3 linked regions of the Oryzias latipes genome follow. The protein of the gene in region 1 interacts with the protein of each later gene in a pairwise test. Links are inferred from orthologs where the notes say so. Each region holds a gene or a part of one and is shown in the gene's direction. Other genes may lie near its edges. The genes, in order: fmr1, pick1 and cytoplasmic FMR1-interacting protein 2.

Region 1 (3,755 bases):
GAAGAGCCTGAAACAGCGTCACTACGTTCAGGTAAATGAAAGTGGAAAAACTGACCCCTGACTCCTACCTGTTGAAAATAGACGCTGGAGACAACTGCGCTGCTTGAAAAGTAAAAACGCCACTTAGAAGGTCATCGCAGTTATCGTGAAGAGTCGCAAGCAGGACCAGTCCACATTAGAATAAACTAGACTGCACAAACATAAATTGTGTAGATTGCTTCGTTTTTCGTCATTTAGCAAAAATAATTTTCCCAGTTTCCGTTGTTAATCTGAATTCTGAGTAACTTCTATCTGTGTTGGAAGAACTAAAGAAAGCATATCTACTTTTTAAAGTCAACGTAAATCAAATAGGGCTGCATGGTGGCGCAGTGGCCTAACACCAAGAAGGTTCAAGTCCCGGCTGGAGGATCTGTAACAGAATCACCAATGGGGGGACCTTTCTGTGTGGAGTTTGCATGTTCTCCCCGTGCATGAGTGGGTTTTTTCCGGGTACTCCGGCTTCCTCCCACTGTCCAAAAACATGCTTTATAGGTTAATTGGTCACTCTAAATTGTCCCTAGGTGTGAATATGAGTGTGCATGGGTGTGTGATTGTGGCGCTGCGACAGACTGGCGACCTGTCCAGGATGTCCCCTGCCTTGTTACGATAAACGCCGGCTGCCCCGTGACCCAGAAAGGGACCAAAACCGGTTCAGGAGATGACTGCATGACTGAATGAATGAAAGATTTCAGCTTTTTAAAGAAGCAGTCAACAAAAAACCAGATTGGACCAGATTTTTGGACATCCAAAAGTTAACCATCATACCTAAAGAAAAAAAATTGCTAATGCAGGAAAATTATTTATGATAAATCACAAGATTAAACCTTAGGTCACTTTGAATTGATGTTTTATCATAAATACACACGACCGGGCATTTTTTTTGCCAAACACAGTTCAATTCATTCCTTTTTTTGATGAATTCCGAATTTAACTGATCAACTAGTAAAACTGTGACACAAACTCAACTATCAGTTTGTGCCAAAGCGGCTTTTCTAGGAACCGCACAGAGCAGCAAAGGCTGCGGGAAGAGTCTGCAGGCCGAGATCACAGTAGAGGAAGAAAACGCAGACGTCACATGGAGAGATGCACCCAGCAGCAGCTGCCTTACTACTAATCACACATTAACATAAACCAGCCACCACAAGCTAACCAGGACATCTATTTGCGTTAGATTTTCCACACGTTCCCCGCCGCGAGTCTGAAAGGAGGACGCGTGAATTTCCCCACGCGGTGCAAAACCGACACCAGCAGCTACCTTTGCCTCTCCTTGCTCCCAGCTGACCGCGGAATTCGTATTGGAAGAGAAACCAGCGACAAAACTCTGCTAGCGTCGGGCTAGCTAGCCAGCCAGCTAGCTCCCATTGCTAACTGGAGTTAGCTAGCTAGCGAGCTGTGGTAACTTGCGTCATGGAGGAGCTGGTCGTGGAAGTCCGAGGAACGAGCGGGGCCTTTTACAAGGTAAACGGTTAACTTCTGCCGACCCTGGTCACGCCTGTGGCACCGTGAACTAACAGGGCGAACACGGAATGGCCCCACCGAGCAAGCCCGGAGATGCGTGTTTGTGCGCGCGGGCCTCCGTGGATGTACCTGTAATAAACAAAACTGACGCAGCGATGCTTCGCCAAACTCCCATCTAGCAGCTGACTTAACGACATTAATGTCGCTGCAGACCCCTGAGATCTGCGAAGCCGAGCTGCTTTTGCTCATATTTATCCAATTTATTCGGATGCAGGGATTATATTGGTCAAAAATGTTGTTTTGTTTGTGTCTGTGGGGCGTCTCTATTTAAAAAAAGTACCAAAGTGTTGCGTTCGGATGCTAATGTGTTGTGGGATTTGTTTAGACAAACAGAAACTGCTCATATAAGCAGGGATTGTCAGGTTTTCAAATAGTGGCCACTATTTCATTGATCCCATTGTAATGAAAACCAATAATCTGATTTCTTAAATTATCAGATTATTCAAGGACTAGCTTCCATCAGATAATAGTTGTCATTTGGTTTTTGAGAATTAAATACACGAAAGTCAAACCTAAATTCACCGAAATCCGATTTTATTCTTGCTTGGACACAATTCAATTAATTTTTGTTCGTTTACATCCAATAATGTGTAAAAACAGAATAGAAAAATGCGAATAAATGGTAGTCAAGGCAATTTCTCTATTCTGTAGGGCTTTTTTGTTGTTGTTGACCTAAATGTTTTGATTGGGAAACCGTAAAAACCATGCGGACGGCTGATTTTAACAAAATGAGAACAGATGTGGAAAAACACCCACAAAAAGTTAAAGTCGATAAAACATGTAAATCTATTTGGATCATCAGGTTCCCTAAACGCGTCAGAACGAATGGTTACAGCTTCCTAAACCCCTCCCAGTTCTCCCATTGTTGTGGTCATATAAACAGACTCATGTGTGTGTAGTAATCTGTACATCAACAATGGTATTTAGGGATGTGCCAATACAGACAACCGATATTTGCCGATACTTAAGTGTCCACAGAAACACAAAGTTTAGATTTTCTTTTTGTTTCTTTATTAGAAATGTACCACTTTTCTTTGACTGGACAATCACATTGCATTTGACCTTTTTAACATACAGCAAAGGATCCTAGAGGAACAAGTATCACTTTATAATTGTCATAAAAATATATCTGTAAGCATTCAGACCATTTACTGAATATTGGACATAACTGTCGGGGATCTAATAGGAACAACGTGTATCCCTATCAAAAATTACATTTACCTGAAAACAGTCAATTACTGACTATGACAGCAAACATAAGTTTTCCAATCTATTGGTAACAAACATTTAAAAAATAAAGTGTTTCTGAAAACAGTCAAGCGAATATCGGTAGATTTTTTATATCAGACCAATACTGAGAAACTCAAATTATGCAAATATCTGCAGATACTGGCACTGAGATCGCCCATCCCTAATGGTGTTCCCTAAAGTGACGAGCGGCGTGATCATCGGACCGTCAAACTGTTACGACCTTCTGGTTGAGCAACATTCTCTCTGATTTCAGCCTCATGAAAGTTCGGCAACAATTTAGTGATAGAAACGTTAAGTTTGGATGCAGCGGCTCGCACGACCTTGTGACAAAAAAAAAATCTACGTTTTTTTTTTAATAAGTCTTCCCCAGAAAGGAAACCACAAAAAAAGTTTGATTCAGCTCCTCTTAAATGCTTATATTTTTGTTAGATTTTATTTAAAGGTATCTGGGTGATTTAAAAGTATTTCTCTAGAATGTGTTGGAATATGTTTAATATCTGTGTTATTAGAAAAACGACTGGTCTCAATCATTAAATGTATGTATTCAGTTAAAGTAAATATCTAATGTATATGTACATATTTATGTTTTATACATGGAATCATCTTTTTCTTGTACAGATTTCTTCGGTACTTAAGGTTTATCATAGCTGTCTTTGTGGTAAAGAATTTTTTTTTCCCGTGGTGATAAACTGTATGTGAGCCATAAAGATGGTCAAAGGTGTTTATTTTTATTGCAGACACTTAGATATCTTATGTCTGAGGGTCTAAAGTGTTGTATGGAGCACACGGTGGCTGTCCCACCTGGGATTTGAACTCTCAGCTGACTGATCAGCAGGCAGCTGCTCAACCCGACGGGATCTTCAAATTCATTAACAGACATTTTAAAGTTTAATAATCCTAAAAATGATCAAATTTATGGAACGTTTTTATATCATAAAAACGTTTTA
Region 2 (3,755 bases), on another chromosome or scaffold:
GGTGAGGTCAAGGTACTACTGCAGTGCATGCATGTGAACACATTTTTTGCATAATACCAGTTAATTTTGCGGGTTTCAACTGCCAAAATCAGAGAACTGAGTCCATGAAGGAGGAAGGTATATCATTTCACAGGTAAGTACTATAATTTTTTTCTTTTAATGCTGCAGGGGCTTCATTAATCATACACATGTTGACATGCATGATGCTGTAGGGCTGTTATCAACATACTGCATGATGTTCGTATAATTTGCTGTTGACATAAATGGACATTTTATTTTGCTAAACCTGTATACAGCATACTAGGCTACTATAGTAATATAGATTTATACATTTCTGACTCAGTGACTGAACTTTTCTTGCAGGTTTCTAATGGATTCAGACTAAAGGAAAAAGTGGATCTTAGCAATAAAAAGGGCTAACCCAGATGGATCACTGTGGTCACCAACTAGCAATACAGTCTGGCTATGTTAGAAACATTTGTGGAAACACATTTTGATAAGAGGCCAGACTGTTTGCTTGAAACCCGACACCATACCATCTGTGTTATACCAAATTAATCACTCACATGAATCAGTGTAAATCTATTGCTTTTCTTTGTTGTTGTAGTTGTTGCTTTTTTAGGGTAAATCTATTGTTCACTTTTGGACTTCTTTTGAATATTTATTTTATTATTATTATTATTATTATTATTATTATTATTATTATTGACTTATTGTTGGGTTTTTCTAAATAATTTAAATTACATGTCAAAGAGGTCTAAAACTTCTAAATGTTTAGAAAATATTTTTAAAACTCTTTGAAATTATTTTTTTCTTCGTAAGAAGTCCTGCAACAATGCATTTTCATTCAAGTTTGAGCTTTTAAGGCTGCCTGTTCTTCTTTAACAACAACAAATGATCTATCTATCTATATCTATCTATCTATCTATCTATCTATCTATCTATCTCTATATATATATATATATATATATATATATATATAAATGTTAAAATATATATATAGTATATAAAAGCTACTTAGACACCACTGAAAGCAATAGAAATCATTGTCATGTGGGCGTCGTCGACCTCACCAAGATGGCGTCGCGCTCCGCCACCATCGGCCAGGCTTCTAAAGCGGGCGTGTCTCCTCTAGTGATATAACTCATTGGTAGTACTCATACTGCGCTCTGCGCACCGTCATGCAACTATTTCCGTTCTGATCCGGAAGTGACAAAATAAGGTAAACAGGAACTGTCAGTAAAAAACAATTTATCGCAATAAAAGTGCAAGCCCAGAACGTTTATCCAGGAGGGGGGAAAGCAGAATTACAAAAACTATTGTGACACAGATATAAGAAAAAGGTACTCGAGACTTTTTGAAGGTAAGTAGTAATCTACCTCGTTTATAAAATGAACGGCATTTCTGCTACACCTGCCAGGAGGCTAGGAGCTAGCGTAGCGGCTATGATGAGACAACGTAACAATATTTTTTTTAGTCATCGACTTTGATGATTAACAATTAACAATATTATGCCAAAATATTACTGTTTAAAGTATTTGATTCCATTCTAACACGTGGTAATATGCAATTAAGAATATTCCTTTTAGTATCCATCATTACCAGCTGTTTCCGCTTTCTCCTCCCTGTAGCCTCTCTCCTCTTCTCTCAGTCTGACGAGAAACAGATCTGCTGACCGTATTTAACAGCAGCACACGGTTTTTGTGCGTTTGTTTTTTGTTGTTTTTTAATCACAAGGCTACAACAGACTTTGTTGATTTTAGATTGTCGATAATTATTTTGATGTAGTCGTGTTCATAAAGTAATCCTGCAATAACAGCAGTTTTTATGCTATTGTCAGATTTCGGGGTCAGCTGTGACTGTCCTGTAATGTTCACAGACATGGACTATGACTTGGAAGAGGATAAACTGTGAGTCTTTATGTTTCATTCTTCTAAATTCAAAATCCTAGAAATTCTGAAGAGTCCAACTAGACTGACATGACAAAGTTCTCAAAGCAAGAGCTGAGGATGAGGATGAAGATGTTTGTGTTGTGACAGAAGCACAGATTTTTCCATTGAGTTTCCAGGAACAACTTAGTGACTTGTTTTCTACTCTCCAGTGGAATCCCCACAGTACCCGGCACTGTGACTCTGAAGAAAGATGCTAATAATCTTATTGGCATCAGTATAGGAGGTGGAGCACAATACTGTCCTTGTCTATATATCGTCCAGGTGAGTGGAGATATCTGTGTTGTCTCTAAAATGATGCTTTAATTTTGATTCAGTGCCTTTGGAAAGAAACAAATTATGTTTCATGCTACTCTGTCTGTTTGTTTGTTTGTTGTTTTTTTTAAAGCTAACAGTGGATTATGCTAAACAGAAACTGTGGATCTGTAAGTCAAATTGAAGCGCTTCAATTTGACTCACTAATCGATCGTCTCACAGGTATTTGATAACACCCCAGCAGCTCTGGATGGGACTCTGGCAGCAGGAGATGAAATCACTGGTGTCAACGGGAAACCGGTGAAGGGGAAAACGAAGGTGGAGGTGGCCAAGATGATTCAGGCTGTCCAGGTATGTCAGGTCTAATGTTTTTTAATCTCAACAATCCGCATCAAGAAAGCAAATGTCACACAGAAAATGACAGCTCTGAAAAAACGCTTTAAAAGTATGACTTTGGAAAACGGGTCACCCTCAGTGCCACTTTTATTATTATTTTAAAATTATTTCATTACTTACTTGCTTATTTGACCTCATTATTGACTATCCAGTAATAGCTGTATGTATATATGGATGTATGGATGTAATATATATATATATATTTTTCTTTTCTGGAGACTCTTTCTGTGAGTTTCCAGAAATAGAAATCTGAAAGCAACCTACATAAATGATAGTTTTCAGAGTGCCAGTGCTAAAGAACAAAAAAAAAAACAACATTTATTAGATATTTGGCAAAAAATACAATTAATAAATTGAGTTGAGATCCATTTGCTGTTAAGGATGCTGGATAATAAAATGAAGCAGTTAACCTGCATCATTGTTGATGCGTTACAAATATGAAATTAAATGTAACCTTGAAAAACAGCATCCTATTGGACAGTCTTTGACCACTTATGCCTCAATGTACGATCATTATATTGTCATTAAAAGCAAAAGATTTGAAAGAATTCCATTTTATCTGCTTTTTGGTACAAAAATAAACTTCTGAAAATGAGGTGTATAACTCTAAAGGTTTTTCTTTGAGCTGATAAAAAAATCATTTGTAAATGGACTCAATATTATTTAGATAATAATCTAAATAATTTCTTCTCATTCTGAAGTGTCTGTAAATGTTAACCAGTCTAAACTCTGACCCTTTCGCTAGTTTATTAGTTCCCTTTGTTCAATAAGTCAAGCAACAGACCCAAATTAGCAATAGAACCATTTATGCTGAATAAGCATCTATTTCAGTTACAATTTTCTGTTCACACCAAAAGTTCAAATATATAATGAATCAAATTATCTGGAAAAAATTTACGAGATTCAAGCAAATATTAGAAAAATCTTACATTTCCAAGCTGCACTTTGAGGTGAAGAAAACTAGAAAAATAAGTGGAAGAAAACTCACTTTTTCAAGCCCAGCAGTTGGTAGAAATCCTCCTCCGTGAGCAGCAGACGGGTTTGCTGTCCAGCCGTGCAGACCTAAAGAGGTCAGAACAAAAGCAAGCAGCATGTGACAGCATGTCATCAGTTCAGAGGGTCTGTGTTGTTTTTCACAAGCTTTGTTCAGACATA
Region 3 (3,655 bases), about 4.2 Mb from region 1:
ATAGACAGATCTGTCAACTGTGGAGCTCAGTTTGCAGGGGGGGGGGGGTTATTCAACTAGCTTGAGGTTAGCGCTGTTTGGTAGCACTGAGCATGTTTGTCTGCTGCACAAAAGCCCCGCTTTACTGTTTGTGAGCCTCCAAGCCAGAAGAGTTTGAAAGGAATGAGAGAGTTCTAAGCAGTAAAAACAGTGCGACGATTACGGCATCCAGCCAAAAACAACCAAATCCTAAAAAAAAAAAACAGCGTTTCGACAGAGTTTATCCTAAACTGCAACTATTGAGTGCCAAAAGTGCAGAAACTGTGCTGGATTTCATTTCCCTGTCACACTTGGATCTGGGATTTTCATTTGATTTTTTTTTTTGTGATGTGGATTTTGAACACGCCGGATTGCACAAATGGTCATGTAAAGCCCCCTCTTTTAATATGCAGATGATGAAAACAGAGGTTAAAGTTGTTTTTTTGTGACTAAACTGCAAGCTTCTTGTCTCTTTTCCTGGTGATTCAACCCTCTGATCCTCACCAGCTCCACTTGTGACTTGAATATTAAGCTGCTTATGGGGAGGTTTGCTCTGCCTGCCGGTTTAGATGTAATACATCCATTTCTGAAGGACACAGTGCATGGGGTGGATGCATACAGATTGGGGTTTTATTAAAGTTAGGTTTTGTAAAAAAAAAGACACAGACCGTATCCTGCCTCTCTGTCACTTATTACAGACACACAGATGAGCTAAGCAAGTACTTGTGGACACTTAATGATTTCAGTGGTAACCCAAAAATAGAAAAATACAAAACTTCAGTAGGGTTTTTTTCCAGTATCATCTTTAAGGCTTCTAAGAATCTCCTGCTTTAGTTGTTCCTGGTAATAATTTAAAAAATAACTTCAGTGTCCTGCACTCGGGTGAAGGGAGAAACAATAAAGAAGTGACACATCAAGGCGTTAAAAAATACCTGCTTTACTCTCGACTTAATATTTCAGTCAATCTGTGTAGTTTATAAGTTGAGAAGTTTTATTGTGTAACTTCATAGTTTTGTAGCTTTCTATTAAATAGGGGTGCTAAAATGTCCATTTTGTTTTAAAGATTATCTGAAATTTGATGGCAGGAACACAACAATACGATAAAATAATGTAGACCACCTTATTCCTTGTATTGTAATATATATTTTTAAAATGAATAATACCCAAAAGTATCAGTTTTGCAGGGATTCTCTAAACGTTTTATCTTACATGCTCGCTCTTTCCCTCTGCTCCTTGCAGACCGGGCTGTTTTTTGAGTGACACTTCATTACCATGACGACGCACGTGACGCTGGAAGATGCTCTGTCCAATGTGGACCTGCTGGAAGAGCTGCCCCTGCCAGACCAGCAGCCATGCATCGAGCCCCCTCCCTCCTCCATCATGTACCAGGTACCAACTTGCACGCACTGACCCCCCTCCTCCACCCCCACCATCACCGCGCCCATCTGCTGTCTGCCACAGCTGTTAGGATCCCCTTCAGCTTTTCCCATGTCACTCCTTTCTTTCTTTCTTTCTTTCTTTCTTTCTTTCTTTCTTTCTTTCTTTCTTTCTTTCTTTCTTTCTTTCTTTCTTTCTTTCTTTCTTTCTCTGCAGGCCAACTTTGACACCAACTTTGAAGACAGGAATGCGTTTGTGACGGGCATCGCTCGCTACATAGAGCAAGCCACAGTCCACTCCAGCATGGTGAGACTGCAGCTTCTGCTGCCATGCCAGAAGTCATTTCACTTCCCGTTTCAGCCAACAGAAAGCTGGCCGTAAGCTGCAGCTTCAGCCACTAAAGTGAGGCCTCATTCTGTGTAGACTGGTCATAATTTGACTGCGTCTACAGCACGACTGACACTCTATTTTACACAATTGTTCCACACACTGATGATGAGGCAGAGGAACACTTAACTCTTTCCCCTAAAGGTGAAGGATTGGAATATGGTTGGACTAACGCAGAGGGGAAGTAACGCTTTATTTTGGTGTGTTTTAGCAGGAAGTTTGATTGAGATTTTATTTTGGGAAGAACCACTTTTTAAAAGAGGAAGTGAACTGCTTTTGTCAAAATATTCACCAACTCTTGAAACTGGCAATATATTTAAAGACCCATTCTAAGGGAAATTGTGTTTTTTAAACATGTTCTTGTGGCATTTTACTGATGATGGAGAACATAGAAAAGAAAATGAAGCTCAAAATGGAATTTCTAGTAGTTCTTTATTCAAATCAATCAGGGGCACAAAAAAAAGCCATTTGAAAAAGATCGTATTAGAAACTATATCCTAGAAAACAACACAGATTTTCTATTTTGGCTTAGTATAATTACAATGAACAGACCACTGGGAACGCTTTGAAAATAGGAAGAAAAGATGATCTGAGTGGGTCTTTAAAATGATGGGGTGGCTCCATAAAAATACCAGCCATTTTTTAATCATACAATGTGACATTAAAAAACTTGATTATTTTTTTAAAAATGGACGTTTTTGCTTTTTGTTTCTATTCAGAACGAGATGCTGGAAGAAGGACATGAGTATGCTGTGATGCTTTACACCTGGAGGAGCTGCTCCAGAGCCATTCCTCAGGTTAGTACAACACCAACATAGTCTGTGTCTTCCAAACTGAAGTAGAATCTGCTGATGTACCATAACTGAATATTCCTGTCAAAAAACCCCGTTTGGATTGCTGTCTGAATTTGTTCAGATCAGCATGTGGTTGAACGTATGAAACTGTTAAAGTTGCTGAACATGAAATGTTGGTTTTAACTGGTCAAACCTGACATCTCATGGCAGCTGAAGCTTAGCTGTTCATGTTTTGCTTCTGCTCTGTTGGTTTTGACACCAACTTAAAAGTTTCATGTTTTTTTTCCATCTCTATCTCTTAAATTAACAGAGGTGTAGAGTGAAAACATAATCTATTATTAAATTTCGGTGTTCTGTTTTATATGAAGTTTCATTTTTATTGCTTTTATCAGTGTATAAACTTCATGAATGGCAGTTCTAAACTGTGTGTTGTCGCCATCTTGTGTTGGTTAGGTGAAATGCAACGAGCAGCCCAACAGAGTGGAGATCTATGAGAAAACAGTGGAGGTTCTGGAGCCTGAAGTGACCAAGCTTATGAAGTTCATGTACTTCCAGGCAAGATATTAATTGGAAAAGTGAAGCAAACAATCAACCAACGGATTTCTGATTTAAAAGGGTCAAATTCACTGCAACATGGTAGATTATTTATCTCTCATTTTTCGCAGAGGAAAGCTATAGAACGCTTCTGCAGTGAAGTAAAGCGACTCTGCCACGCTGAGAGAAGGAAAGACTTCGTGTCAGAGGCGTATCTGCTCACCCTGGGAAAATTCATCAACATGTTCGCAGTGCTGGATGAGCTCAAGAATATGAAGTGTAGTGTGAAGAACGATCACTCTGCTTACAAACGGTAGCCAGCAGTCATTTGGTTTACAGTTTTAAAGTAGCTTTGAAAATAAAATAAAAATGTTATTTTTTTTAGAACGAAAAGTAAAAGTTTTCCACTGTCTTCTGCCTTTTAGAGCTGCTCAGTTCTTGAGGAAGATGGCCGACCCTCAGTCCATCCAGGAGTCCCAAAATCTTTCCATGTTTTTAGCAAACCATAACAGGATCACTCAGGTTTGTTTGTGTCCTTTTCACAT

What was found.
Region 2: the proteins of fmr1 (region 1) and pick1 interact in a two-hybrid assay, tested with the Homo sapiens proteins (2 studies listed by BioGRID and IntAct). The link is inferred for Oryzias latipes from reciprocal best matches to the Homo sapiens genes FMR1 and PICK1.
Region 3: the proteins of fmr1 (region 1) and cytoplasmic FMR1-interacting protein 2 interact in a two-hybrid assay, tested with the Homo sapiens proteins (2 studies listed by BioGRID and IntAct). The link is inferred for Oryzias latipes from reciprocal best matches to the Homo sapiens genes FMR1 and CYFIP2.

Annotation. Positions count from the first base shown.
Region 1 is NC_019868.2:25,368,070-25,371,824, forward strand, and holds the start of fmr1 (synaptic functional regulator FMR1), read left to right. Parts: upstream 1-1,045; 5' UTR 1,046-1,446; coding exon 1,447-1,497; intron 1,498-3,755.
Region 2 is NC_019866.2:19,587,595-19,591,349, reverse strand, and holds the start of pick1 (PRKCA-binding protein), read left to right. Parts: upstream 1-1,194; 5' UTR 1,195-1,363; intron 1,364-1,602; exon of another isoform or gene 1,603-1,631; 5' UTR 1,632-1,703; intron 1,704-1,840; 5' UTR 1,841-1,869; coding exon 1,870-1,910; intron 1,911-2,101; coding exon 2,102-2,213; intron 2,214-2,426; coding exon 2,427-2,555; intron 2,556-3,755. UniProt on the Homo sapiens protein: Probable adapter protein that bind to and organize the subcellular localization of a variety of membrane proteins containing some PDZ recognition sequence.
Region 3 is NC_019868.2:21,201,189-21,204,843, forward strand, and holds part of cytoplasmic FMR1-interacting protein 2, read left to right. Parts: intron 1-1,257; 5' UTR 1,258-1,290; coding exon 1,291-1,407; intron 1,408-1,611; coding exon 1,612-1,701; intron 1,702-2,501; coding exon 2,502-2,579; intron 2,580-3,029; coding exon 3,030-3,131; intron 3,132-3,241; coding exon 3,242-3,423; intron 3,424-3,535; coding exon 3,536-3,632; intron 3,633-3,655. UniProt on the Homo sapiens protein: Involved in T-cell adhesion and p53/TP53-dependent induction of apoptosis. Does not bind RNA. As component of the WAVE1 complex, required for BDNF-NTRK2 endocytic trafficking and signaling from early endosomes.